Nothobranchius furzeri: one gene and its partners. The protein of the gene in region 5 purifies or fractionates together with the protein of the main gene of each other region. This does not show direct contact. Links are inferred from orthologs where the notes say so. Each region holds a gene or a part of one and is shown on either strand. Other genes may lie near its edges.

What was found.
Region 1: the proteins of cdk19 (region 5) and mediator of RNA polymerase II transcription subunit 13-like purify together in Homo sapiens (affinity purification with mass spectrometry; 6 studies listed by BioGRID and IntAct, counting the BioPlex papers as one, with this or other methods). This does not show direct contact. The link is inferred for Nothobranchius furzeri from reciprocal best matches to the Homo sapiens genes CDK19 and MED13.
Region 2: the proteins of cdk19 (region 5) and med20 purify together in Homo sapiens (affinity purification with mass spectrometry; 5 studies listed by BioGRID and IntAct, counting the BioPlex papers as one, with this or other methods). This does not show direct contact. The link is inferred for Nothobranchius furzeri from reciprocal best matches to the Homo sapiens genes CDK19 and MED20.
Region 3: the proteins of cdk19 (region 5) and med1 purify together in Homo sapiens (affinity purification with mass spectrometry; 7 studies listed by BioGRID and IntAct, counting the BioPlex papers as one, with this or other methods). This does not show direct contact. The link is inferred for Nothobranchius furzeri from reciprocal best matches to the Homo sapiens genes CDK19 and MED1.
Region 4: the proteins of cdk19 (region 5) and med23 purify together in Homo sapiens (affinity purification with mass spectrometry; 5 studies listed by BioGRID and IntAct, counting the BioPlex papers as one, with this or other methods). This does not show direct contact. The link is inferred for Nothobranchius furzeri from reciprocal best matches to the Homo sapiens genes CDK19 and MED23.
Region 6: the proteins of cdk19 (region 5) and med7 purify together in Homo sapiens (affinity purification with mass spectrometry; 5 studies listed by BioGRID and IntAct, counting the BioPlex papers as one, with this or other methods). This does not show direct contact. The link is inferred for Nothobranchius furzeri from reciprocal best matches to the Homo sapiens genes CDK19 and MED7.
Region 7: the proteins of cdk19 (region 5) and mediator of RNA polymerase II transcription subunit 13-like purify together in Homo sapiens (affinity purification with mass spectrometry; 5 studies listed by BioGRID and IntAct, counting the BioPlex papers as one, with this or other methods). This does not show direct contact. The link is inferred for Nothobranchius furzeri from reciprocal best matches to the Homo sapiens genes CDK19 and MED13L.

What each region holds. Positions count from the first base shown.
Region 1 is NC_091753.1:50,234,693-50,238,192, forward strand, and holds part of mediator of RNA polymerase II transcription subunit 13-like, read right to left. Parts: intron 2,584-3,500; coding exon 1,894-2,583; intron 1,811-1,893; coding exon 1,597-1,810; intron 1,488-1,596; coding exon 1,457-1,487; intron 1,367-1,456; coding exon 1,245-1,366; intron 1,164-1,244; coding exon 1,088-1,163; intron 1,014-1,087; coding exon 817-1,013; intron 725-816; coding exon 534-724; intron 1-533. UniProt on the Homo sapiens protein: Component of the Mediator complex, a coactivator involved in the regulated transcription of nearly all RNA polymerase II-dependent genes.
Region 2 is NC_091743.1:46,651,350-46,655,524, forward strand, and holds med20 (mediator of RNA polymerase II transcription subunit 20), read left to right. Parts: upstream 1-1,375; 5' UTR 1,376-1,467; coding exon 1,468-1,481; intron 1,482-1,893; coding exon 1,894-2,039; intron 2,040-3,234; coding exon 3,235-3,488; intron 3,489-3,571; coding exon 3,572-3,793; 3' UTR 3,794-3,982; downstream 3,983-4,175. Other genes in the region: bysl (bystin), read right to left, coding at 121-259, 375-531, 834-1,107. UniProt on the Homo sapiens protein: Component of the Mediator complex, a coactivator involved in the regulated transcription of nearly all RNA polymerase II-dependent genes.
Region 3 is NC_091756.1:39,221,577-39,225,670, forward strand, and holds the start of med1 (mediator of RNA polymerase II transcription subunit 1), read right to left. Parts: upstream 2,801-4,094; 5' UTR 2,757-2,800; coding exon 2,636-2,756; intron 1,735-2,635; exon of another isoform or gene 1,657-1,734; intron 1,304-1,656; coding exon 1,197-1,303; intron 1-1,196. UniProt on the Homo sapiens protein: Component of the Mediator complex, a coactivator involved in the regulated transcription of nearly all RNA polymerase II-dependent genes.
Region 4 is NC_091742.1:26,121,528-26,125,027, reverse strand, and holds part of med23 (mediator of RNA polymerase II transcription subunit 23), read right to left. Parts: intron 3,434-3,500; coding exon 3,364-3,433; intron 295-3,363; coding exon 182-294; intron 95-181; coding exon 1-94. UniProt on the Homo sapiens protein: Required for transcriptional activation subsequent to the assembly of the pre-initiation complex. Component of the Mediator complex, a coactivator involved in the regulated transcription of nearly all RNA polymerase II-dependent genes.
Region 5 is NC_091742.1:28,536,832-28,540,331, forward strand, and holds part of cdk19 (cyclin-dependent kinase 19), read right to left. Parts: intron 2,343-3,500; coding exon 2,199-2,342; intron 2,071-2,198; coding exon 2,001-2,070; intron 1,924-2,000; coding exon 1,851-1,923; intron 1,234-1,850; coding exon 1,136-1,233; intron 1,065-1,135; coding exon 986-1,064; intron 1-985.
Region 6 is NC_091742.1:50,786,277-50,790,516, reverse strand, and holds med7 (mediator of RNA polymerase II transcription subunit 7), read right to left. Parts: upstream 2,801-4,240; 5' UTR 2,659-2,800; intron 1,456-2,658; 5' UTR 1,447-1,455; coding exon 682-1,446; 3' UTR 132-681; downstream 1-131. Other genes in the region: itk (tyrosine-protein kinase ITK/TSK), read left to right, coding at 4,027-4,164. UniProt on the Homo sapiens protein: Component of the Mediator complex, a coactivator involved in the regulated transcription of nearly all RNA polymerase II-dependent genes.
Region 7 is NC_091746.1:54,183,761-54,187,260, forward strand, and holds part of mediator of RNA polymerase II transcription subunit 13-like, read right to left. Parts: intron 587-3,500; coding exon 441-586; intron 1-440. UniProt on the Homo sapiens protein: Component of the Mediator complex, a coactivator involved in the regulated transcription of nearly all RNA polymerase II-dependent genes.

The DNA of each region.
Region 1 (3,500 bases), on a different chromosome or scaffold from region 5:
CGTATTGCTACACTAAATTTACTCTTCCAGGTTAAATTTTCGGGCGCTACGCTTCCAGAACGCATCAAGCTCAGCAGTTCAGATCGGACCAGACAGGAAGCAAAACACAATATCAGTGTAAAACACCTGAAAACTTTCAAAATAAAAGACACTGCAGATTTCCAATTACTTAAAAAATTGCCTCTACCTTTGAAACCTCAGTGTCCGAGTTAAAAGAATTGAAAAAAGACCACAGACCCTTTTCAATACATGCGCCTGTCTTTCTATTTGCTTGTTATCACGTGAATTACTGAAATCACGCGTGATCTCGCAATCTTCCTGTGATTTCGTGGCCTTGTGGGATGAGCTGCTGGCGATTTGCATCTGAAACACTCCCAGTGGGAAGGGTCGTGCCGCTGAGCTCGTGGAAAAAAGCGACTTTTACGTTGCGCGCTACTTATACATCCAGTGGACAGGCCAGCTCACGCAGAAACACTTTAAAATCCCAATCAGGGACCAAATTGTGCAACAATCAGCAGTAATTACACATCTACCTGTCTTTGGTGAGGAGGCTGACGCTGGTCATCAGCTCCACTTTGCCCATGGTCCAGCTCGGTGTGTACATGCAGTCCTCTGGCAGTTTGATGGGTGACAGACACTGGCTGGGTAGTGTTTTTAAGGGGGCGTACATAGTTGAACCGATGATGGACTGACTAATTGCTGGCTTGTACACAAAGGAGAAGTCCTGAAAGCAGATAAATCAGTGGATTAATTCAACTGGAGAAAGAAAACCTTTGGTGCCTTTTCTCTTCTTGCCAATGGCATCACATGTCCCACCTTTAGTTCACATGGCTTTGGGCTGCAGTAACCCTCCTCCACCTCCATCCTGAAGTGGGTGTTGAGCTGGCTGATGTCCAACACGGTGAGACTCGCCCCTGTTTCCAGACTATTCTGGCTCCCAGAGTTCATGGGGGAGTATCCCTGCTGGTCCAGGGAGGGCGGGGTGGGAAACATCGTGTGCAGGTCTACTGTGCCTAGGAAAGTCGCACAGCGTTACAAAAAGATGACGTAAATGTCAGAATACATGTAAGCTACCGGTGCTCCTTACTTATGATGGTCGGTTGATCTGGCAGGGGGGGTCTACAGACAACATCTGTAGCATCTTCAGTTCTTCTGGGTCCAGGCTGAGAAGGACAAAAACAATCTTCAACAATTTTTTCTCATCAGCGTTTTAACAAGTGCAGCTTTGACCAAACTTAGCTTACCGCTAGCTCATCTTCATCGGAGTTGAATAGTTTATCCAGGTCGCTGTAGGACACGGCCAGGTCATTCTCATGGATGAGGCTGGTCGAGGCAGAAGGTTTACTGCCTGATGGACCCTGACCATCTACAGCAACAATATAGGGCAGACCTCAAATAAGACAATCAATTTCAATGAGTCCATTTCAATAAATGTCAAATCTGATCAGTTTCTCACCATCTGCAGAAGTTCCATTTCCTTCATCCATCTAAAGTAAAAAAAAAAGAAAGTTATTTTTTTGTTTATGAAATCAAACGGACCAGAACTACCCTCTAGACTCAAGTTGAAGTGTAATAATTATAAAAACGGAAATCCACCTTCTGTTTCTTGTTTCCTTCCTTCTCAGTCCCAGACTTGTCCTTCTTCTCTGTGAAGTTGTCGTCCTCGTCTTCCACAAAGGCGTAAGGGTCTGGCTCCTCGCTGTGGTCTCCGTCTCCTGCTGTGGAAGAAAGATGGCTGTGTCTCCGCTGAGCGTACGTCCTGACCAGCTCCTGGGAGACCTTCAGAGGCTGCGAGGAGTCGGACATCAACCTGAGAAGAGGAGAACTTTTAACATCCGCACGGCCGTTCTGTCATGAACAAACAGGAACACTCGTTCCACGTCAAATACGTACTCCGTGACAGAGACGACGTTTTCCGTTCCTCCACAATCATCTCGTGCTTTATCCACAGGCAGCTGAGGCGTCGACAGGTTGGAGGGCTTCCTGGGCAAGTTGAAATACTTCCAGGGGTTGTGGGTGGAGTCTTCATTTGGGTTTACAGCTGAACCTACAAACATCGTCAGTTCCAAGCTTTCGTTATAGGTGGGGGTGAAGGAAGGCACGGGGACGCTGTCCAACTGATGGTCCTCGGACGAGGCTTTATGTGGCTCCACTGACGGCGGGTAGATCGCTTGGTGAATAGGCGTGGAAGAGTTCTTAATGGCTCTTGGGGTTAAGTCGCTTTCTGCATGTTCACATGGATGTGGGCTGAGAGGAGGGGGTGGCGGGGATCCTACCAAGTCTGTGGGGGGACCGTGCGCGTGTAGCGTGGGTGCTTTGGGCGCCACTGTGTCGACGTGGTGCAGGCTGGGATACGAGCCCTCCTCCAGCTGTCTGGGGCAGAGCCGCGGGGTCTGTGGCTCCAGCGGCTGCTCCTCGCTCACAGAGTTGCGGTGATGAAAAGGCGTTTGTGGCCTCCTCTGCTGCTTCTCCCCCTTCTCCAGTTTCTCTCCCAGCTTGTGCTTGGGGGCTGGCTGGGCCGACTGGCCTGATGACGGTGGGTGTCCTGAGGTGCTGCCGGAACGCTGCTTCTGATTCTTATGCCTAAGTAGAAATAAACAATTACTATGAGGCACTTTTTGAAGAAACAGACACAGTCCAGCAAGTTTTAACCTGGGATTTTATTATGATGGAGTTATGATTGTTTTGGTCAAATCACTGCAAAATGTTTTGGAATCCATCATTACCGGGAACTGATTGACTCATGAGCTGCCACAGTTTAAAATTTGTATTTTTTTATGTTTATGTATTTAGCAGACACTTTTGTCCAAAGCGACTTACAAGTGATAATCGGCATGTTGCCCTTGAGGCTAACAACAACAACAACAACCAATTTCCAGTCAGTCGCAGGTGGCAGTGAGGCAGCATGATGAATCATTTCATGCTAATGCTAAGTGTTGGGAGTCCCATTTCCTGATATTTGGACAATTTGTCTCAAACTGGACAACAGCAACCCGACTACCACTGTTTCCATTTGCTTTGCAACGACGATGTTTTATCTCCACAAATAAAACAAACCTGGAGGAGCTTCTATCATGTGGTTGAGTTGCTAATGCTAATGGTTAGCTTCTGCTAGAAGAGACGTTATCTGCCGTTTTTCGATGCTAAACCAACAACAGCCTTCCCAGTCACGAGCCAGTATGGCAGGGTATCTGCAGGTTTAAGGGAGCCAAATTTAAGACTTTTTAAGACCTATTTTAAGGCCACTTTGACCAAATTTAAGCTATTTTTAAAATTAAGTTTAAGCTATAATTTCTAGCTATTGCCTGGAACCGGTGCTAACCACGTCGCGAACGTGAGATTAGCCATCCAGTTACCATTAAACCAACACATTCTCACACCCAAGGCGTCAAAATATGACGTGTGTGACCAAGCCTCAATATATGACGATTGGGGATGCCCCTGCGCGTCAGGAGATGATGATCAGGGACATGCCGGGACACGTGGCTCCGCTGGCATCA
Region 2 (4,175 bases), on a different chromosome or scaffold from region 5:
AAAAGTCTTAAATTTGGCACCCTTAAACCTGCAGATACCCTGGGAAAAGAACAAAGTAGGTGAGATCATTTTTAACAGGAGAACACATTTCAACATAACACAAACAACTGTATAACTTACCTTACCGACACCCCGGTAGACCTCGGTCACCCTAGGGTCCAGCTGGGGCATTGGAACCCCTGATACCTCAGACATCACTGTTCCCACCTCGGTTTGCTTCTCTGTGATCTTCTCCATGATAATATCAGCTAAGGTCCGCCTGTGATGGTCACAAAGAGGAAAACAGCTGAGTATACGAACATAAACTTAACCTCAAAGTGGACTTTAGCAAATTCCAACAGCTAGAATTCAAACAAAGTTGTGAGAAATCTTGCCTCATTGGAGGGTTTTTATTCATGAACATCTCAATGGCCTTCTCATCATCAGAATCAACGATGACTTCAGTATCACCCTCCACATCACCATCCCCAGCACCTGCTTCTCCCAGAACTGGCCAATCTTCATCTGAGTCAGCATCCTGGGACTCAGGGCCTAAAATAAACAGGTCAGACAACATTAGAAAATATTATTCATGCATTCAGCAAAGACTTATTTCACCTAAATAGTTCTGAGAAGATCACGCTGGGAACTATTTTTCTCTGTGATCGTCTGACATTTTGTCCACATAAAAAACATTCGTCATTAGTTTTATTTTTGCAGAGAAATAAAGGGATGTTGCATAAGTAACACCGTATAACTAATTACAAAAACACTTTCGTGGTTTCTACGCTTGATAAACCAGACTTAATTAAAAAAAATACTGCCAATTTAAGGTCCGAAACCCTCCATCATACCGAGAACAGTGACTGGTGCTTTCCTCTGCTCAGGTGCCAGGCCATACTCGGTCTGCAACTCCTCTTGTTGAATCCGGGCCTGTTGTAAGATTTTCCTTGACAGACGTTCATCCACGTAGGTGTCCTCACTTTCGACCCGGGCGTCTCGATTCTTCACCCGGCCTCGGGCTCGGATCGTGTCCGCCTGGAGGATCTGGTCGGCCAGTGGCACCGCTCCTCCTCCGCCACTCTTCTCTCCTCCACCGCCACCTTTAGCTCTTTTCACTTTCGGCATCTTTCAAGAGTGACTCAAGCTGCGACGACGCTGTCCGTGTTTTGTTTTACCATTAGAGACACAAACAACGCGGAGAAAGAATTCTGTAAACAGTCTGTATTCTACACGTGCAGATTACCGTACGGCGGAAGTGACGATATACGTAACGTCTGTGCACTGAAAAACATATATATAACATACCATTTTATATGATGTTGATTTTATATGTTTGTATGTAACATACATTTATGCAATATGATTATAAAGTTTCTTGAGTTTGTTTTTTAATTTTCTGAAACAAGGTCGTTTACGTGCACCGGAAGTGTAAATGTTAATCCGGAAGTAATTGCTTCACGAGTGTTTTTTGCAGGCGAGAAATCAATGGGTGTTACTTGGTAAGCAGATTTACTTATGTTGTAGTTAAATGCTAACTGTAATAATATTTTTGTAATATATTTTATCACGCTGTGCATATGATTTCGTTTGGCATGTGTAGCTAACTCGGTGAATGTAGCCTTTATTTGCTTCCAAACCGTTTTACACTGAATAGAATAGTGTTTATTGTCGTTGTACGGTGTACAGCGAAATTAGAGTGCCACTCTCTTTAGTGCAAAATGGAAAACTATACAAAAAATAATACAGAAATAATATAAATGTAAAATGAACAGTAATATATATATTAGTTGGGTTCAGTAAGCAGAATTTTAGCATATTGAGTAAACAGAAATAGGACATTCAAATGTTATTGCACATGATCAATTTTGAACAGGTTGCTTCACGGTGTTGTGTTGTTCTTGTGCTGTGCAGTGTTTGCCAGGTGCCCGTGGCGGAGGGGAAGAGTGTCCAACAGACAGTGGACATTCTGCATAAGAAGCTGGAGCAGCTTGGAGCTGTGAAGCAGGGCAACTTCTGTGTAGACTGTGAAACATATCAATCAACAGTAAACGCTGGCGGTAATTTTCAGCTATTAACCATATAAATATTATCATTCCTGTTGTTTAGGTGCTTTAGATGGATAGTCTTCTGCATTGCTATTAATACAACTTGCTGCAGGGGAATTTGTCATATTTCTTTGATTAAATTCTGCTTTTTGAAAATGTTCTAATAATTATGTCAAATATTTGACTTAAACTCAATTGTCCAGGATATGTGTGCCTTGTGACAAATATATTGTCAAGCTATGTAATTTTCATTTTTACTGATCTTATTTCTCTGTAAGGTTAACAAAAACAGTCATCCATTGGGTAAAAATAGCCAGATTAAAATACAGTTGGTGTGTTTTAGAAAGGTTTTCTGTAAATCTTCATTACTATGTTATGCAAGGTTAAATGAGCCACGTTTCCACTGTATCTTTCCCCAGAAGTCAGGAACATTTAAAAAGCCCCATCCACTGCAAGAATCCGCTTAAATTTGTTTAAATGGGACAGCAGTAGCTCAGGAGGTAGAGCGGGTTGTCCAGAAGGTTGCAGGTTCGATCCCGGCTCAGACCAAAGAATTCTGCTGTTGTGTCCTTGGGCAAGACACTTAACCTGCCTTGCCTGCTGGTGGTTGTCAGAGGGGCCGATGGCACCAGTGCTCAGCAGCCTCGCCTTTGTCAGTGCGCCTCAGGGCATCTGTAGTGACATCATAGCTCATTCCCACCAGCGTGTGAATGTGTGTGTGTGAGTGACTGTGTTGTGAAGTGCTTTGGGGGGATGTAGAACCCTGTGAAGGTGCTATACAAACACAGGCCATTTACATTAAGCTCCTTGAAAAATAGTTTTTATTTTTATGTTTTATAAACATCCGCAACCCGGGGTCTATAAACGTTTGATTTGGCATTTATCTTTCTAAGTTACTACTAGTCTTTTTTTTCCAGGTTTCCACCAATGAGTCCATTAGCAGAGCAGTAAATCATGATCTAATTTAGCTCAAGTGTCCTCCAGAAAAAAAGGTGTCTGCTCTCGCATCCCTCATAAGCAACATTTATATAAACAGGACATGGTATGATTCTACTACTTACTTGTGTAATTTTAAACTTAATAAGCATGCTGCTCTAATCTGTGTCCAAAAATAAAAAAATCATGCAAAGTCATTATGCAAAAATTGCATTGTTACATTTTGCTGTTCTTCATGCAATTTCTCACTTTAAGTCTGGGTTTGTTACAGGTCAGCCCTCCAAGCTCCTTTATGTAATGCACAACTCTGAATTTCCCCTGAGCTGCTTGGCTCTGTTTGAAGGAGGACCCTGTTTGGTAGCGGACACAAACTTTGACGTCCTCATGGTGAAGCTGAAGACCCATTTCCAGAATGCCAAGGGACACAAGGTGGAGTGTCGCGGTTCGAGATATCGCTACTGTGACTTCTTGATTAAAGTTGGCACGGTCACAATGAGTTCCAGTGTTCGAGGGATATCAGTGGAGGTGACAGTTTGGTATTATCAGTTAGACCAGAGGCCCATTGTTCTCTTTTTTGACAGGATTAACCCTTGATGTGTTTTCCTCAGGTGGAGTACTGTCCCTGTGTGGTTCCAGGGGACTGCTGGAACCTCATGAAGGAGTTCATGCTGTCTTTTCTTGGCAACAATGTTCCTGAGCTTCCCACTGTATTTGCTGCCAAGCCTGAGGGTCTTTTTGCACCAGCAGACTCTGTCGACACCATGACTCAGTACCTGGAGTTGTTCAACAAGCTACGGAAGTTACAAATCACAGGAAGCAATGTGCACTAATAACATTTTTTAATGATTGTATTGATGTGTGTTAAATGTGGTCCTATGGAAACCGTATGATTTGTATAGTTCTATTTTTGTAACTTCAGTTTTGTATTTGTTTACCCTGATACAGTTAAAAGGAATACAGCTACAATCTATAGATGCAAATGCTCAACACAGACAAAAATAAAGACAAAAATCTACCTATTTCTGCAAGAAGTAAAAATTCCTTACACTCGGTGGGGAAATGTTGGTGTCACAGCAGCAATCATTCACATCAGGAGCAAAGAAGAACAAAATCCTGTAACATATGCAAGAAATTCTTAAAACATTCAATCGAATAAAAAAAATCTGTGCAGATAGACGAAGTTTATAATGAGGAGTGATGGCATGAAAGGAG
Region 3 (4,094 bases), on a different chromosome or scaffold from region 5:
AACATTTAATTTGTTCATATTTTAGTTGTAATGTTCATTTTCAGCAAAATATTTATGTCTCTACAAGTTCTTTGAATTTGGTCGTTCCTAAACAGCATTTTAGTTGAAACTCTGCTCACAGATGGACTCACACTGGCTAAATAAACGAATGAATAAATAAAAAAAACACATTAGTCATTATATGTTAAACGGCATACCAATAAATCGTTGTAAACATAGTACTGGCAAGTGTAGCTAGAAATGAGGAAAAGAGATATTAGAATATTTCCACTGCTGGGAGGCGAACCTGCGCAAAACTGCATGTCAACCTGACACCATCACCACTACACCACCACATCTGATAAAAATTAAGTGGCGTTACATTTTATTATGTTATTTGGTGTGTCTTTGTAGATGGGATGTATGATTTTTCTGGCGGTGTCTCAGTAGAAGTCATTTCAGAAATAATTTGTCAGAAAATTCACAGAATATCCAGATTTGAGAACCAAGACCAGACCCGCTTTGGGGGAGGAGACCAAATTGAAGCTGAGATGGGAAGAAAATGCATGAATGAGGCCAAAAATGGCTTTGGCGTGTTTCTTATGAGGAAATGACAATATAACAAGATTAAAAGTTCCAAAAGTCAGATTTTTAATTATATGGAACCTTTACAAAAACTGTTCAATTCACTTCTCAACTCCCTCCTCAATCTTGCATTTTTTAGCTATAACACCCTCTTTGGTTCCAGAATGCTATCAAGTCTGACAACTGGAAGGAATTGGACTGACTCCGATAGAATGGGCGGGGCTGATTCTGGAATGGGCGGAGCTGACTCTGGTGCAGCTCCACCTTCTGGTGCAGCTCCGCCTTTGTGGTTCTGCAGCGAGCACCACTTGATTGGTTCTGCCATTCTTTATTTACACTATGTTATTTAATTAAAACTATTGTGGTTGAAAAATGCAATTTTAGAATGCAAATACAATATGGATAATTTACATACAGCACAAATTTTAAGACCCAGTTGTCAAAATTCAAGACTTTTAAAAGATTTTTTAAGGTATTATTTTCTAAATCCTAAATTCAATGCTTTTGAGACTTTTTAAGACCCCGCGGGAACCCTGGACGGCGAGTAAGAAGGTCAGTGTCAAGTTCAGGTTGTGTGATAAGAAACATTATGTTTTAGATTTATTTTCTATAGAAGAATGAATCTGTCTCACCATGGCCTGACGCACAACTTTGGAGGTCTCCTGCCATGGTCGTGAAGCATTATGTTTGGCATGAAGTCTCTCCAGGAGAGCAGCTATCCGACTCTGCTTCTCTGCCTCTGATAAAGACAAAAAAAAAACATATTTCAGGTTGTGATGATGATTAAAAAGCAAATCAAATTTACTCGTGTATTCTGCCCAAGTTTGGAACCTTACTACACTCAAACAGATCATTTAAACTCGTCCTTTTAGGAATTTGCAAATATATAGGGGCCTTTATCTGTGAATTTCCAAAAATATAAAGATAATTACAATGTTTTCTTTTTTCAGAAAAAAAATTCTTTGAGGTTTTCAGAATCTGTAGTTTCAAAGATCTACCAAGTCTTTCATAACGTTTAGATTACAAAAACAACAAGGTGGCTCTTCTGTGGAGATTGTTAAACTATGAGAAAATAAAGAAGCCCAGATTTACCTTACGTCCTCATGTTGCCATTATCCGTAAAAAGCCATGGACATGAATTAGCTGGTCCAGTTGAAAACCAGATCCAATCTAGACATTCAGATATTTTACATGCAGTCTGAGATGTAGATGAATCATGCTGAAGATGTCTGTTGTAATGTATTTAGCCTACAAATAAGATGTGAACGGTAACAACATGTGCTATAATTTACAACAAATTATTAAAAGATAACTTATTATTTGTGAATACTGTGTTGATAAATTAGTTGTCCCTATAATAATTTTACATTCAGCCAGATTATGACACCTAAACTGTGGCTGTTTACATTTGTTGTGAACAAAGAACACCAAAACTAAGTTCTCTGTTATCATTTATCAACTTATTCAAAAGTTATCTTGCAGTAAAACATTTTTCTTCATCGTTTTTAAAGTACATAGGAAGGTGGATAAGGAGGGGAGTTCATAACGAGATTGTTAAGCGATTAAATACTCCCATCATTAAAACGCCCGAATTGTGGTTAACTGTCAATTACAACTTGTAACAATGAGCTAATGACGGATGACTGATTATTTCGCTTAGTTTTAAAAGCTAGTCTTACGTTCATCCCTTCAAATGATATACTAATTTGGTACAAATAAACTTGTTTTTAGTATTTTAGATATTATTGCAATCTGATCTAATGTTAATGTTGACGTTTGCATTTAGTTTATAAGACAGTAGCTCCTGCTAGCCATTAGCAACATAACAAAGGCAGAAATAAAAATAAAAAATAAATAACTGTATCACTCATAAAAAATTCCATTATTATATGTTTAATTATTTTGTCTGCATATTCAAAAATAGTCTAAATGTTAAAAATACGACACCAATAATAGTTAACACCGTTGGCTATCAGTTAGCATAGATAGCCTCTCTCACCTCTCCTAGCACTTCACGCATCTTAAAAAACTCTAAATAAACTAAAGCACCTAAAACAAAAGCAGGCCTCACCCGTTACATCTTCGGGTTTTACCCGGTCACCGATAGGCAGATTTCCTCCTTGTTGAACCGAAATAGAAAGTTCTCTGGCCGGGCTGCCACTTTGCAGAGAGACACCAGGCCCCGACGCCATTGTTCTCTCAAAGCTTCGAGTTCTCCGCGTACCCAGGCGGCTTCCGTACGCCCATCCTCTAGGACGCGAGTGTGACACTACAAAGAATGTAAATAACCCTGGTGTCTTTACAGTTTTCTTCTACAAATCAAATTTTCTTGTAATTAAAAAAAAGTTTCTATTAATAGTTCACCTGACAATCTCGTTTCATTTGTCCCTGCGCGAATATGTAGATTTATTTTAAAAATATAATACTTTCAGGGAAATTCGACTGATTATAATTGACAGGAGTTATTTTCTTTTATTGGTCAAACAAAACATTAAAACTGTGTCGAACAGCACTATATAACAGCACCTTCCTCCTAAGACAGTGACTTAATTATTTCTCCAGATGGCGTACTACTGCAAGGAAATGATTCATGTTTTGCCAAAAGCAACTGACAGGTTACACAATTATGTTTATTAACTGTAAATTTCAAGTAACACGTTTTGATTGTCGATCTCTTTTTGTCTATTGGTAAATCCCACTTTTAAAGTTACCACAGCTGCATATAAAGCAGCATATTAAAAAAATAAAAATGAAAGCCACAAAAGCAGTCATGCCTTGCAAAAACAAACGCATACTGCATGCAGACACCTGAGCCTATTGCACAGCTGAGCCTGTGGCAATGAGTGCTCTCCAGGGAGGATTTTCCCACCAACCATTATGACCTGCCTATGAGATAGAGCAGGGAGTGTGTTCATGAATATGTGTATTGGTGCATTTGCAAGGCTATACTTTAAGAACATGCGTATTAAATAAACACACAAGAAATAGACAGCACTGGAGATGGAGAGGGACTAGATTGGCATGATCTGAGTCAGTAGACAGACCTACAGATAGACATGAAGAAAAGAGGGGAGGTGCCGCTATGTAATTGATGTGCCCACCAGGAGCTTTAGCTGGCTGCTTGGCACAGAGGAGGATTTGGGCACTGCTGCCAAGACAGCAGTGGGAGAAAGGAAAAGGAGGCACGAGCCTTGGGGAGCACAGTAGTGGGCTGAAGCCATGCCCATCAATCAGAGGCTAGTTCACCTTGCCACGCCAAGTGGGACACCCCCCACTCCCTCTCTGTGCTGAGGGATGGTATGGCACTGGGAGTGAAGCTGGCACTGGACCTAAATCTTCCCTAATCTTCATGGTGGGTGTATCAGTGCCATGTCAGAATGGCAGCAGAGTGGGCAGAGCTAGACATGAGACAAAAAAGAGAAAGTTCAGCTGAGAACTGTTTGACACAGTGTTGTGAACATGAGGAAAAATGTTCCAGTTTTTTCACCTACAGGCTGAGTGTTAGGACAGTTCAAATTTGTCACGTCAAC
Region 4 (3,500 bases), about 2.4 Mb from region 5:
GCTTGTTGAGTCCCAGCATGTTGCACACCATCTCTCTGGAGTACGGCTGCTCCAGCACGTATCGCAGAAGCCCCGTTTGTGGCTCAAACAGGTCCTACACACAGGAGATACACACATCTGGGAGTTTTGACAGGACTAATAATGATAATAACAAAAATAACAGCTGAACTGAAAATGTTACCTTGTCATACGGCAGCATTCCTCTCAGGTGGAAGCGGAGCGTCGTGGGGTCCAACTTCCAGGAGTTACAGATGGCGCCGCTGTTATTCACCACAGGTAACAGGCTGCAGCGACCTGTAGGACACAGACATCCGCACAGGACTGAATCAAATAGGAGGAATTTTAGAAATGGCAAATTAAACTTGTAATTGTTTTATTATAAGGGTCTAATGGGAAAAATATAATCAGACTGAGGCCTGATTCTCATAGGGAGCTTAAGCCACGCCTATCTACTGCTGGACCATCGGTCCCCGGAGGAACGAAACAATGAATGCGAGTCAACGGGGCTAAAAACGCTCTTTTCCGATCCCGCTTGTTATGTGCCATGGATGGTAAATGGTAAATGGCCTGTATTTGATATAGCGCCTTCTAGAGTCCTGGAACCCCCCAAGGCGCTTTACAACACAACCAGTCATTCACCCATTCACACACACATTCACACACTGGTGGGGATGAGCTACGATGTAGCCACAGCTGCCCTGGGGCGCACTGACAGAGTCGAGGCTGCCGAGCACTGGCGCCACCGGTCCCTCAGACCACCACCAGCAGGCAACGTGGGTTAAGCGTCTTGCCCAAGGACACAACATCAGCGACAGACTGAGCGGGGCTCGAACCTGCAACCTTCCGGTTACGGGGCGAGCTCTCAACTCCTGTGCCACCGTCGCCTAGAAGTGTTTTGATACCAAGAAAGTGCTTATTTTTGAACGAGGGTAAATGCTATTTTAGGTTTTGTGTGAAAATAAGTCCAGGACTACCAACGTGCATCACCGTCATCGAACCAGACACGGAGACAAACGGGGACGACGGATGTAAATTCAGCGAACTTCAAATCCGTCCTTCAGGAGGAAAGAACCACCATAAATCTGGCCATGTGTCGAGTAGCAGCTACGCTAGGGGAGAGGAGATTCTGTGGTGACGTCATTATTGCGACGTATCGATATCTGATTTGTAGTCACGCTAATTATGAACATTTACAAGCTGATAATTCTCAGAATACATGGCAGGCGTGGTCGAAGCACACATCATCACTTCTAATTGAAGCACATCATATGTGCGATCCAGGAGTTGAGCAGATTAGATAATAGGTCTTTTAGCCCTGCAGCTCTCGTTAACTTGAAGTCCTTTTTCTGACCCATCACCCAACCAGAAAGGGAGGAGACTTAAGCTCACTATAAGTAGGGATGCACCGATACGATACTGGGATACCACTACCAGTATCGGTATCGGTAAAAGTTAACCGATACCAATGCAGTTGCTTGAAAATGGCTTCACTGTAACTTGTCATTTCTGTTCACCTAATATTTTAGTTTTATGATGATTTCCATTCATATATTTTACTTTTCATCTACCTCACAGTCTTTTCCTGGTGAAAGAAGAGAAGAAAATAAAATCTGTTTTCCAATCCATTGCATTTTTTTGTGTGGTAGAAGTATCGGTATTGGTAATCGTATCGGTGAGTACTCAGATATCGTATCGGTTTGGAAAAAAGTGGTATTGTTGCATCCCTAACTATAGGAGAAAACATTCCACTATTAAATAATCTCATTTAATTCTAATTAGACATCATCTTAAAAATATAATGATACAAATCTAAAAGTATACGTATATATTTCATCAATAAATGAACAAAATTTAGACATTTTCTCATCCAGACATCAGAGAGGATACTTTGCTTAAATTGAAGACAAAGCAAACTACATATTTTCTAAACTGGGGAAATAAATGGATATGAATGCATATTTCTGTTCACTTAATCAGGCCTTTTAAGGTATTTCTGATCTTGGTTTGTGTAAAAACAGACATGCTAAATAATTTTTTTAAGTTGCATTTAGCATCAATATCGGTATCGGCTGATGTTAATCATTCTTTAAAATATCGGTCCAATAAATAAAATCAGGCCGATATTAACAACCGATATTTTTTCCATCTTGTCTCCATTTGTTTGCCTGTTTCAGAGGTTGAGAAGGTGATGTGTATTTCTTTAGTCATGTGACAGTGATTGTAATCATCTCTGAAGTGTATGTGTGTGTGGTGTGTGCACATTTTAATGTAAATTCAGCTTTAATAATGTTCATTTTACACAAAATCTGCTGATTTTAGAATCATTAATGTCAGTATATCGGTATCGGCAAATATCGGTTATCGGTCAAAACAGTGATCTTAATATCGGATATTGGTCTAAAAATTTCATGTTGGTGCATCACTTATTTAAACACAATTCACTGGTCACCTTAGCCTGAATGAGGCCAAATAAAAGAATTAAATAATGAATTCAACAAACAAACCACAACAGGAATATATTTGAAATGAAAAAAAAAAACCTAAATGCATGACATAACAACAATAATCATGTTTACTGAAACTTACAAGATCAATTTTCATGCACATAAAAACGCATTTAAGCTCTGAATCAGCACCTTCCTATGGGGGTTGAACAAGTGAGAATGTGTTTGTTTTGTTTTACAATGTAAACACTGTCAAACTGACGCTTTTCTTATCTTGATTAATGGATTTATTTTTGTACTTTACTTCCCTCAGCTTGTTAAATAACACGACCTCCCCGCCTCGTTCTCAGACGAGCACTAGAGGAGGGGATGAGTTCACACGGCTCTCGTTGAGGCAAAAATAAAGAGAAAATGACATAAACACAAAAAGCCAATAGGATAAAAAAGGTTGAAGGTTATTCACCAAGTGATTTATTATAAATAATAATTTAACATGTGTAAAATATATTAATGTTTATGGCACCACAGAAATGGAGAATTTAGTATTTTGTATTTGACAAATGTAAATAACGTGCATTCTAGTTTATTTACCAGTAATTCTACATCTTTAAAAATCCTGTTGGCTTTAGTGTCGAGGCGGAATGAGTCAAAACTCTTTGGAAATGGAAAACAAGCTAATGAAAGCAACACAGATAACTAAAAAGTGTTTGAAACAACAACAGTCCCCATTTAGGAGATTGTTTGATATTTTATACTTCCCTGTCGTCTTTTGCCGTTGTTCCTCTTATTGAATTTCTTTTATTTCTCATATTTTTTACACGTGTTTGTTTGAAGGCCGTTTACGATTACATTTATTCACGTAGATGGATTTTTTATTGCAAAACTAATAAATGATATGAACGTTGGGTGTGTGTCTTACCACAGATGGAGTTAATTCTTGCAGTAGGTCTAAAACTGTCCACGAAGTCTGAGATCAAACTGCCTAAAAGCTACAGAAACATACTGACTATTAAGATATGATTTTAAAAATGCAATGAGAGGAAAATAAAATAAAGA
Region 5 (3,500 bases):
TTCTAAAACCCTGCCTACACCTCCAGTTCCTGACCTTGCTTCTGAACCTCGACCTTGCCACCTGCCTGCTCCCTGACTGGATTATCTCATAGTTTCTGATCTTCTGGACTCCTGACCTTGGATCTGTTACATGGACTCTGCCTCTGGATTTCCCCTCCTGACCAAGCCTTCTGCTTCTGCCCTTCCTACAGACTGGTAACACTCCCCTGTGTGTTCTCAAATAAAAACTTTAAAGCGTCTTACTGTGTCTGGTGCTTTCACGGGTCCTCCAGCCCTGGTTGTCACAAATAAAGAAAGAGTGGTAAAGAAGGTCATACAAAAACCAGCTTGATCAAGTGAGTCTTCAGCTGCTTTTTAAAGGAGACCACTGAGTCCACTGATCTCAGGCTCAGGGGGAGAGAGGTCCAGAGTCTGGGGGCCACAGCAGCAGATGATCTGTCACCTTTGACCTTTAGCCTGGTGCTGCACAACCAGTAGGCTTTGGTCACTGGACCTCAGGGACCTGCTGGGGGTGTAGGGACTAAGAAGGTCACCAATGTAAGATGGTGCTTGTCCATGTAAGGCCCTATAGACCAGAACCAGGATCTTGAAATGAACCCTGAAGTTGACTGGCAGCCAGTGAAGCTGGAGGAGAAGCGGGGTGATGTGGGTGTGTTTGGAGGACTTGGTCAGAAGCCGAGCACAGGCGTTCTGAACCACCTGTAGACAATAGGCTTTTTCTAACAACGTTTTTGAACAGAAACTGGATTTGATTTTAGGTTTTCTCTGTTAAAGACAGGATTCAGTGACTTTACACACTTCAACAACTTATGCACGTCCTAAATGAACCTCTCTTGTATATTCTTGCATGTTTAACGCTTGCTTTTTCAGGAAAAAAATGATAATTAATTGCGATAATTTTTTTTCAGATTTGCGATTAATTAGTTTATTTTAATGGATTCCCAGCCTTGGTTAACGACGTACATGTGATCTGAAAGTAGATTACCTTTTCTGTCTTCTCCTCCGGCTCGTCTTCATTAAGAAACTCTCTCTTCGGGTAGGGGATCTGACAGCCAGCAAACACACTGCAGGTGAAACAGATCAGTTAAAGGAGCGTGGGGGGGGGGGGTGATGTCACAAGTTCAGGAGAGCTCACTCTGTGGTTGGTAGGGGCTCTTCCAGGAAGTAGAGGTCCTGCAATGCCTGTTCTGAGGTGATTCTCTTTGTCGGGTCCATGGTGAGGAGTTTCTGAAGCTGCATGGAGAAAGAAGACTTTAGTACAGAGACAAGCCACCAGATGTTGGACTGTTTCCTCAGCGTGAGAGCGTATGAACGTTAGGACACGCTGTTTGTGAACGCGTTCTCCCAGCTGTTCGTCTGACTTTCATAAACTACTGATAAGACCAACACGTTATTCTGTCTGGTGCTTTCAGCGCTGCACAAATGCTACGTAAATGCTAAAAGTTTAGCTTACCTCAGCTTTTGTGGTCTCCTGTGCCACCGGGCAGCAGCAGCAGAGATCAGAGAAGATCTCTGCAAAATGTCCGCCACACGAGCTCCGTAGTTTTCAGGAGCTTTGCTTTTATTTTTACAAGTTAAGAGAAGAGGCGGACATGTTTACCAAATACTGCAGCAGTCCAAGCAAACCAGTTTCTTCAAATGAGTCCATTTTCAGTTAGCTGAGCACCGTGCGTTGTTGTGTGCATCAGTGATATTCGGCCTATGCTTGAAATGCAAGCTGTGATTAAACGTGTAAATAATCATAATTAACGCGTCTGTGACTGAATCCTGTTCTGTGTAGCAGACCTGAACCGATCTCCACAGGGTGTGTGTGACAGAGTGAACCCCGGTCCCACATCCTAAACACTCACCAACAGAAAAACTTTGCTGTCAGGCTTGACTTTGTGCTTCTCCATGTACTTGATCAAGCTGCTGTTTGCATACCTGTGAGGAGAACAGTCACCTTGTGTGACGTTCAGTGAAAGAAGTTAAAAGTGTTCGACGTCCCAGTGTCCACTCACGTTGTCCTCCTGAAGTCTTTTTGCAGGGTGGGGTACTCGGGCATCTTCCTTATGTCCTCCCAATCTTTATCTACAGAAAACAAACCAACGAGCTGGTTTCCCAAAAACATCACACTCTAAATAAAGCCTTACACAGGTACTCACGATTACTCGTGTGTGTGTGTGTGTGTGTGTGTGTGTGTGTGTGTGTGTGTAGACCTGCAGGAAAACCCATGACGCTGAATATTCGGTCTAACTGGTCATGATGGAAGGGGTTACTGGTCTTGATGTCCTCCTGGCGACAGTGAAAGATGGGCTCTGATGTTAGGAGCTCTGCAAAGATGCAGCCAATTGCCCAAATATCTAACAAACACACACACACACACACACACACACACACACACACACACACACACACACACACACACGCACAGTGATCAGCTGGTTTTGTCTTGCTGAACTCTCTGGGACCTATAATTTGTGTTTCTGCTCTTTGAGTTGATTTTTGAGTTCCTTTTACAGCATTTCTCGAGCCAAAAGTGCCTTAAAAATCTCTGCTAGCTTGAGTTAGCATGCAGCTAATCTCACGCTGATCTCCAACCGAGGAGAAACATGATCTTATGTAAGCGGCCGGCTCCGAACCCCAGAGCCACTTCTTATGGGCCATTCCCATCTGTACCGGGTCGGCCCGGGCCGGGTAGCCCCAGTCGGCCCCAGCCTGGCCCGGTTGATTCCACACATCCTTGTCTTAAGCCCATGTGGGCTGATTCTACCCACCAATCAGAGGCTTGCTCTAATGGAAGGTGTGAATTTGCTGTCAGCAGTGGGTGTGTTGGCCCTGGTCGGCCTGAAGCAGACCCCCTCGAGAAGAGGGCTGAGAATGAGCCTTGGTTGGCCCGGAAAAATACCAGGCCACCCAGATATGTAAACAGCGTACGCTACCCGGCCCGGGCCGACCCGGTACAGATGGGAATGGTCCATTAGCTTCTTGGGTAAGCTAAGTTAGCTAGTAGCTACATTGGTTCATTTGTTCCAACCCTGTTCCAGTTGTAACAGTCCCACCCTCAGCTCTACCTCTTTTCCTATTTTGGACAGTCTGGGCGTGTGACACATTCAAAATGGCGGTGGTGGGAACCTCCCATTTTCTCTAAAAGACTTATCATTTGAGCCTATGGACATTATTTGTCCATGGTAAATACAGTATGCCGATGGTTGTAACATGTGATTTTGCGTAATTTCCTGGATTGTTTTCATGATGTCGTCCTGGACCAGGTCACTCTTGCAAATTAGATTTGACATCTTAATGAGTCTCTCACCTGGTGAAATAAAGAATATTCTTAAAAGTGTGTTTCTCATCTGATCGCCTCACTCTACTTTTGTCTTGGCTAAAGACCCCCCCCCCCCCCCTTCATGTGCCCTTTCATGCTGGTATTCTTCTATGTAGGTTAGCCTATAGCAAGATAAATAGTAAACAAACGTCTGGCCAAAGGTACCCTTACCAAAAAGAAGTACACTGAAGTA
Region 6 (4,240 bases), about 22 Mb from region 5:
CTGCAGCTTTCACCAAAGCAAAAGGGGAGGGGGGAGGGGAGGGCTCCCAATGACGAGACGGCTCCTGTCGTTCACTTCAAAGAGCCGGCTCTTAGAACCAGTTCGTTCGCGACCGACACATCACTATTAAATAGGTTTTATTTGAATTTTTATTGGAAAAATAGTGTATGTATAAAGTATCACATGTACAGACGACTGACAGACGTAAACCTATCAAATGTCACCTTTCAATTCAGCACACCCCAACCCTAAACTTGTCTACATTGCATTACATTTTAAAAGAAGGCAGAATGACTTAATTAAATTTTACTCAGGTCTCTGATGAATCAAGCTCTTTGATATGCCGACTAGCTAAAGGATCTACGCATCTACCGCTAATGCATAATCAGCAAACCACAGCGTCAGAATTAGCAACAAATTCTTAACAAAAGCACTTTGTGTTTATGTGGAACCATATTAGATCATCGTTTTTGTGACGGCACTAAACTCCTGCTGCGGTTTCAAATAGATTTATTGAGCCCAGTGAACACAAAGATCTGTATAAGATTTAAACGCTAAGGAAATATTTACAAGTACATTTAGTTGAATTTGAAAAGAACATGTACAAATAATAGTATTTTTATCCCACACAAAGTATTTCATGCTGAGTGAAAAGTAAAAACATGCATGTGCTGTAAATCTTCATGCTATCTCATCTATTATACTACACATGGCAGCATCCTTGTCCCATGTTTTGTCTGTTTTTGAACTTGGGACATTCTTGTCCTGATCACCTGCAGCCATGCAGCTGGCGCCCGTGTCCTCTACATCCATTGGTTCGGTTTTCAGAATGGGGGCCTGTCCAGAAGAACAACCAAAACTAGATCCAGCAGACACACTCTTGGTCCCAACACACACACCGTCTGTTACATCCGACTGGGGTAAGTCATCAGGTAGAGATGCAAGGCACCCCTGGATCATCTCCACCACCCTGTCCAGATGCTTCTGGAACCTCTCTGCCGTCTCCAGTCTCTGCCTCTTCTGGACCTCCATCATGACTCTCAGTGTTTCTCTGGCTTGGTGTGGCCTGTACTCGTTTATAAGATGATGCATGTGAACAAACAAAAGCTTCATGTCCTCCAGTTTCTCTTCACGCTTTATGCTGCCAGGACTCTTGATGAGAATGTCCAACAAGTCCAGAAAGTTCACAAGAATTGACATGTTTAGTTTTTTGAGCTGCCGCTTGTGGTCAAACTGCATTGGATGGAGCCTCTCGATGCCTTGGCTCTCCAGAGGTCGAATGATAAGGTCATCACACTGGAACTGGTTGCCAAACATCATGTAGCTGTCTCTAATGGGTGGAGGCGGCTTTGGGACCAGACCCTTGCGGATATTTTCATCTGTGTACTCTTTAATGTACTGCATAGGTGGTGGAGGCAGGGCGCTGACCTGCTGTGGTTCACCCATGATGCAGACCTGAAAGTATAGAAAAAGAAAAAACATTTATTAGGAATTCCAGGCACTATTAAAGATCAAGAAATGCCTAAATGAACTTTTTTTTAGCTGATAACCTGTACAGATGAGTGTCTAATAGTGCTGTAGACATGTGCAATTATCAGTGTGGCAGTTTAGTGCAACTTATTCTAAATTTAATATTTCAGCCCAAAACCATAGTTATATCTCCATCTTCAGATTAAAACTCGGCTCCACATTCATGTAGAACCAGCTGTGGCTGATGGCTAAGCTGAAAAACATGACATTATCAGCTGATTACTACTACTACACAATACATTACAGCTACCTAATGAGCACAATAACTTATTAGGTAACAGCATATCGTGTAGAGCTCTGCATCAAAAGATATACACTATTACACATAACAGATTGTAGTAAAAGCCTGAATGCCCCTCATTTGTACAAATAAATACTGTTAAATGTAAACTGCAGTAACAAATAAAATGTTTTTATTAAGAATTTATTATTGTTTGATTTACTTTTTGAGAGTTTCGATAAAAGATTCTCAAAATCCTTGTACATAAAATATATTTAAAAATTCGACAAACGTCATTCTCCCAATAACTGCAGGATTCTATCATTAGGCTGGAGGGGCAAATTCAATAATCAGCATACACTTCCAGTAAAGTGTTAGTCTAAAATCTAAACTAATGTGTTGCAGCACCAGTCCAGCACAAAACATTCAAAGCAAAACTAGATTCTGATGGGTTTTTAAGTTGCACCTACTGCTGTTGTTGGTAGGAAAAGTAGATATGAACTTAAAATGACACGTAAATTATAGTATACACACTACTGCTCATTTTGGCGTAAAACATTTGCAATCTAGTTTGAAGTAAAATTAGGCTTTATTAGCCATAGTTAATAATTATAGGTTTAATATCTGGCTGAAACGTTGTTCTTAGGTATTTAAGTAGTCAAATTCAACTCCTAGCACGCACCTAACCATTGAACCTTTGTCTTCTGTGTTACCTTTATTTTGTTACGGACTCAATGTGTTATTGACAAACACTACAAGCAGAACTACGTTAGCGTCACCGCTGCATTTTGTACAGAAACCTAGCTAACTATAGCCACCGCTAATCCCGGTAGTTAATTGGGCACGTCAAAAATGAAGCGAACTACATAAAAGGTAAATGAGAAGGGAGTAAATGTATTCATACCCACCTTAAGAACAATCCTTTAGAAACACAACATATACTTCTAATAATAACGTTAATCAAATATCGTTGGAAAATTAGATCAGGGCTAACATAGCTTCTTCGATAAATGCAGAAAAGACCAGTCGTTTCTGTTTGATTTCTATTGGCTGAACTGTCCTCGTGATTGTTTTCCTAACGCTGATTGGGGTGCGGTCACAGAAAGAGCTCAACGCTGATTGGTAGAAATATCCGGAAGCACGGAAAAATTTGTTTTTCTTTTACTTTGTTCTTCAGAGGATCGATGGAAAAAGTACCGTTTGATGCCCAAACTGAACTGATTTTATACATGAAAAAGAAAAGTTACTAAAATATTCAGATAACTGTTGAATATTTTTGAATGAAAATACTAATTTTAAAGACATAAAAACAATAACCTGTATATTAATTCCTTCGGGTTCTCATTTTACAAACTATGTCAGTTATTGTTTGTTCTTTATGTTTATTTAGCAGACGCTTTTATCCAAAGCGACTTACAATTTATGACCTATAGGGCATGTTGTGATCTGTTTGTCCTCTTTCAGAATCTGCAGAAATCTATGAATTTTATCCTAAAATAATAATAATAAAAAAAGATGATTGTGATTTCTTATGTATGTGAAACACCTGCCACAAACAGAACGGTGTAAAAGGGTTGATATCGATATTAAAAAGAAATTGGGTTGATAATGACAAACTGAATTCTATTATTCTCTTGTGAAAAGATAGTGAGCAGCATTTTAATTCCTAATGTTCCGAACCGGTTTGCTCACGTTTATTTATTTACTCCTTGTCACCTAGATGAGTTTTGTAAATTTTTATGTGGCTTAAGTAGTTTTTACTCTTTACTTTAATCAAGAATTTAATGGACTGCATTCACTGTAAACAGTCTAAACTTCTCTGAAAAATAACAATATTTTGACGTGTAACCCCTAAATGCAAAGACACATTTAGAGAAAGAGAGATATTTCTTTATCTTAACTTTTTTCAGTGATGTTTTGTGTTTTGTTACTCATTTTATCTTCCCAATTGTTTAAAAAAGTACTACCAAAACCTGGATTTCTGCATTCACAGTCCTGCTTTGGGCTTAACTTGTTAATTCTCTATAACATTAGTGAAAGTACATGTGCAGGGTAGACATCTACAGTGTTTGTGCATCAAACAGTGTGTATTTCTGCTTGCGCAAATCATTTGTTGCCACAAGGATGTGGTTTACTGCCTGCCGCAGCTTCACGCCGGAAGCTCCACAGCATCTACGAAGTTTATCATCCACAACTTTGCCTTTTCTTCTTCTGACTCTGCGAGGCTCTGCTTGTGACAAAACCATTCGCAGACGCTCGCTGCGTTCTTCTTGACAATGTTCCCCAGGGTGATTTTGAGGGGAACCATGATCAAAAAATCCCAGCAAAAGAAAAGAACATCACCAAATAACTACAAAGAGAGGTTTTTTGTGTTGGACACTCAGGATCTGAAGTATTCGGAGTGCCGTCCGGGGGTAAGTCCACACGATTTTGTATTGAAATGTGGTTTTCTTAAAGTCACATTTTCTATGGCGTTGAATCTATGTGACA
Region 7 (3,500 bases), on a different chromosome or scaffold from region 5:
CTGGCAATGCGGGTTAAGTGTCTTGCCCAAGGACACAACAGAAGCATTCTCTGGCGGGGGCCGTGATTAAACCTACAACCTTCCTGCGTTTGCTTTTCTGGTGTGTGTGTGTGTGTGTGTGTGTGTGTGTGTGTGTGTGTGTGTGTGTGTGTGTGTGTGTGTGTGTGTGTGTGTGTGTGTGTGTGTGTGTGTGTGTGTGTGTGTGTGTGTGTGTGTGTATTTTCATTAGCAATATGATACTAGTAAATATATTTTTTGCGTGTACAATCACTGATGTAACACAAAGTTAAGCATAAGTCTGAATATATCACTATAATTTTAAAATTCATGTTTAAACCCTCAATTGCACATATCTGTGCTTGTCAGATGCACACTGGGAATGACTTTGGGTTTTAGTGAAACCAAAGCAGAGTGAAAAGTTCATTGATCTGTGGTCTCACCCTGCACCGGCGTGGTGGAGGTCTGTGCGAGTCGGATGTGGTGCTCTGTGATGTGGTATGCAGGCTGGTGCTGGGCGATCTCGACGCTTGTGCATACATTGCTCTCCCCGTGGAGGAAGAAGGAGAAAGAACATGATAGGTGCTCACTGTGGACAAAAGATGGGCAAAATTTAGAAAATTAGAAATCTCTGTCAAAGAAAAAGGGACAGAAAGAGGAAAAAAGACTCAAATGAACACAAAAATACAACCTTTAAAAACGGATTAAGACTTTAGACTCCCATCTTTTCTCATTTTGATTAAACATGAAATCACCTCCACTAATTATTCAATTTTAGATTAAAATCCACTGCAATTACTTTTTAATCATGTACAATTTGAGATTAGCTATCAGACATACTGAAAATGTAAAACAAGTCATCTTTTCAGGTTGGAAGCTGTCAGGTGATGAGTGCTTTTCTCTGCTCAGATTCACTAAACATCATTGATCTTCTGCACCATTTACCACATATGATTCTTATTGCAGGTATAAATCCTCATTTCCTCATGACTGATCAAGCCAGCTACATGTTTACAAATGCAACTCTTTCTTTATTACACGCAGCCTGCATGTGGTTCATCATGCATTGCTGTGCTTTTTTTAATCAAGGAGGAATAATCGTTGGATCTTTATTGCAGTCTATGGAGCAGTGGGTGGGCTGGACATCATGTACCAAGAAAACCACTTCACTGATGTATATTTTTAATCTATAAACCTCCCTAATACCTTGGTTTATATATCAGTATTACAATAAAGTCAGAAGGTACTGTAATTGTCTTGTGATTACACTGCTGCCTATGCAATATCCCCTTTGCCCTGAGGGAGTTGGACCTCCATTTGAGCTGTAATGGATCATCAAATTCAATAAAATGGTCAGTTCCACACGCGTGTCCAGAGCTAAACACCATCTCTTTATGCTGGGGTTTCTCCGGTTTGACGACGACAGCCTCCAGATGGCGCTGAAGGTCCCCAAGGTGAGAGGAGGCCAAGTTTTCTGCCTCATATACATTCCTCATGCTCCCAGAGAGAAAATAAGGTAATGACAGCAGGTGGTTCAAACACTGTTCTGCACAATCTAAAGGTGCATGCATATGCATGCCTGCAATAACCTGACACTCAGGCAGAGATCCTTAGACACACACACACACACACACACACACACACACACACACACACACACACACACACACACACACACACACACACACACACACAATCAAACACGGCCATAGTCCATCATCTCTGCAGCTCTCTACAACAGAAAATGCTTTCAATGTCACTGCCCTCCAACCTCGTCATCAGCGCATCGTTCCACTCACACGAAGAGCTAAATATAGGTGGAGGCTCAGGGAAACAGCTGCAAGTCAAGGGTAACAGTCTGCTCTGCTCATGTGGGCAGAGATAGATGTCCATCATCTCTGTTGTCAGGATTTAATTGAGGCTAGAACTTTGCAGAAAGCGTGATCTAAACTCACTGATGTTTGTCCAACAGGCATGGACTGATGGGCTGAGTAACAGTTTGGTCTGACAGGTTAATGTTGCATACCTGCATGCATGAACAGGTATTATCTCCCATGTTAATGATCCTGTTTATATATTTAGGATCAGTTGCACATAAGCCTTTTTTGCATTAAATGCAGCTGATAATCAATGCATATCAAGTCAACCTGACACTGTGCATAAAGCAGCCCGGTAAACAGTTACAGCCTGATAACTAATAAGTGACAACTGTAACATGAGATCTATTGTAACGAGAATAAAGTGCAACCACATGCAAGTCTGGGATGAGCAGAGCCACAACAAAAAAAAGCATCAAGCTGCAAGCTGACCCAGCTGGGAGATTGATGCTCCCTGTCCTTTCACAAAGGGCATTTTCCTGCACCGTAAGCGGGTGTGAGTGTGTGGACACTCTGGGCTCCTCACATCCTCTGGGACTTTAGTGCAGTCGGCAGGCAAAAGCAGACGAGTGTGAGAACGTCGGCCAGAAATGTGTATGTGACTACAGCTGTGTGAGTAGGTATTAATAAATGAAGAGGAGAGATGGCTGAGACACGCCTAAGGGCTGACAGTACAGGAGAAAAAAGCTGAACAGACTGTGAAGAGGAAGAAAGGAAAGAGAGGAAGATGGAGACATGGGGAATTGAAGGCATGCATGAGTAGACAAAATGGTAAAGTTGAGAGAGTGAGAGGAAATTAAGAAGATAAGGAAAGGTAGAAGAAAAAGAGTGAGAGCAAAAGCAGTGAGACAGAAGAAGTGGTGAATAATTCAGTGCTGCACCCTGCAAGTGCTGCACACATATCGATGAGATCAGAGTTTTAATGGCTGGATACTGAGTATGATTTTATGGTGAAATCAATCTGCTAATGTACATCACACGCCGTCTGTGGGCATGCCTTCCTTCCCTATGCTTTAGGACGAGCACCGTGTGACTAAATGTGTCTTGCATTTAGAGTCTGGTGCACCTCTGTTAGCTAGGAAGACTCGGGTGCATGGATGTTACTGCCAGTGGGGTGGGGTGGGGGGTGGGGGGGGGGGGTGTTCTGTTTTGGGATCTTGTTACAACCTGAGTTCTCTCACCCCTCCACAACTCTAACAGTGAGCCAGATAGCCAGCCAGAGAGCTGATTAATGTCTGACACGCGTCACAGACTTTACACATTTGCACGAAAAATAACTCTGTGGAGAAAAAATGGCAATCATGATGAAAAATTTAGAAAAATATTAAAATCAAGGATCTTTGCTTTTAAGAGGAAAGTTAATCCAAGGGTTGATAACCGTGCTCAGATTGTCACCAAGTATGATAACATTTTCTCTCAAATCTGGGAGATTAATCTTCTTAATCTGCACCTTGAATGATTCATCTGCCACCGGAGTAGCAGGATTCTGAGTCATCCTCTTCCTTCTAGCTTTCTCACACTCTCCTCAGATGCACGTGGACCAGTCTAGGGGATGTTTACACTCTTGTCAGCTCTTGTGAGCAGCATGTACACACATCCACTTCAACTGCTTCCTGTGGACTGAAA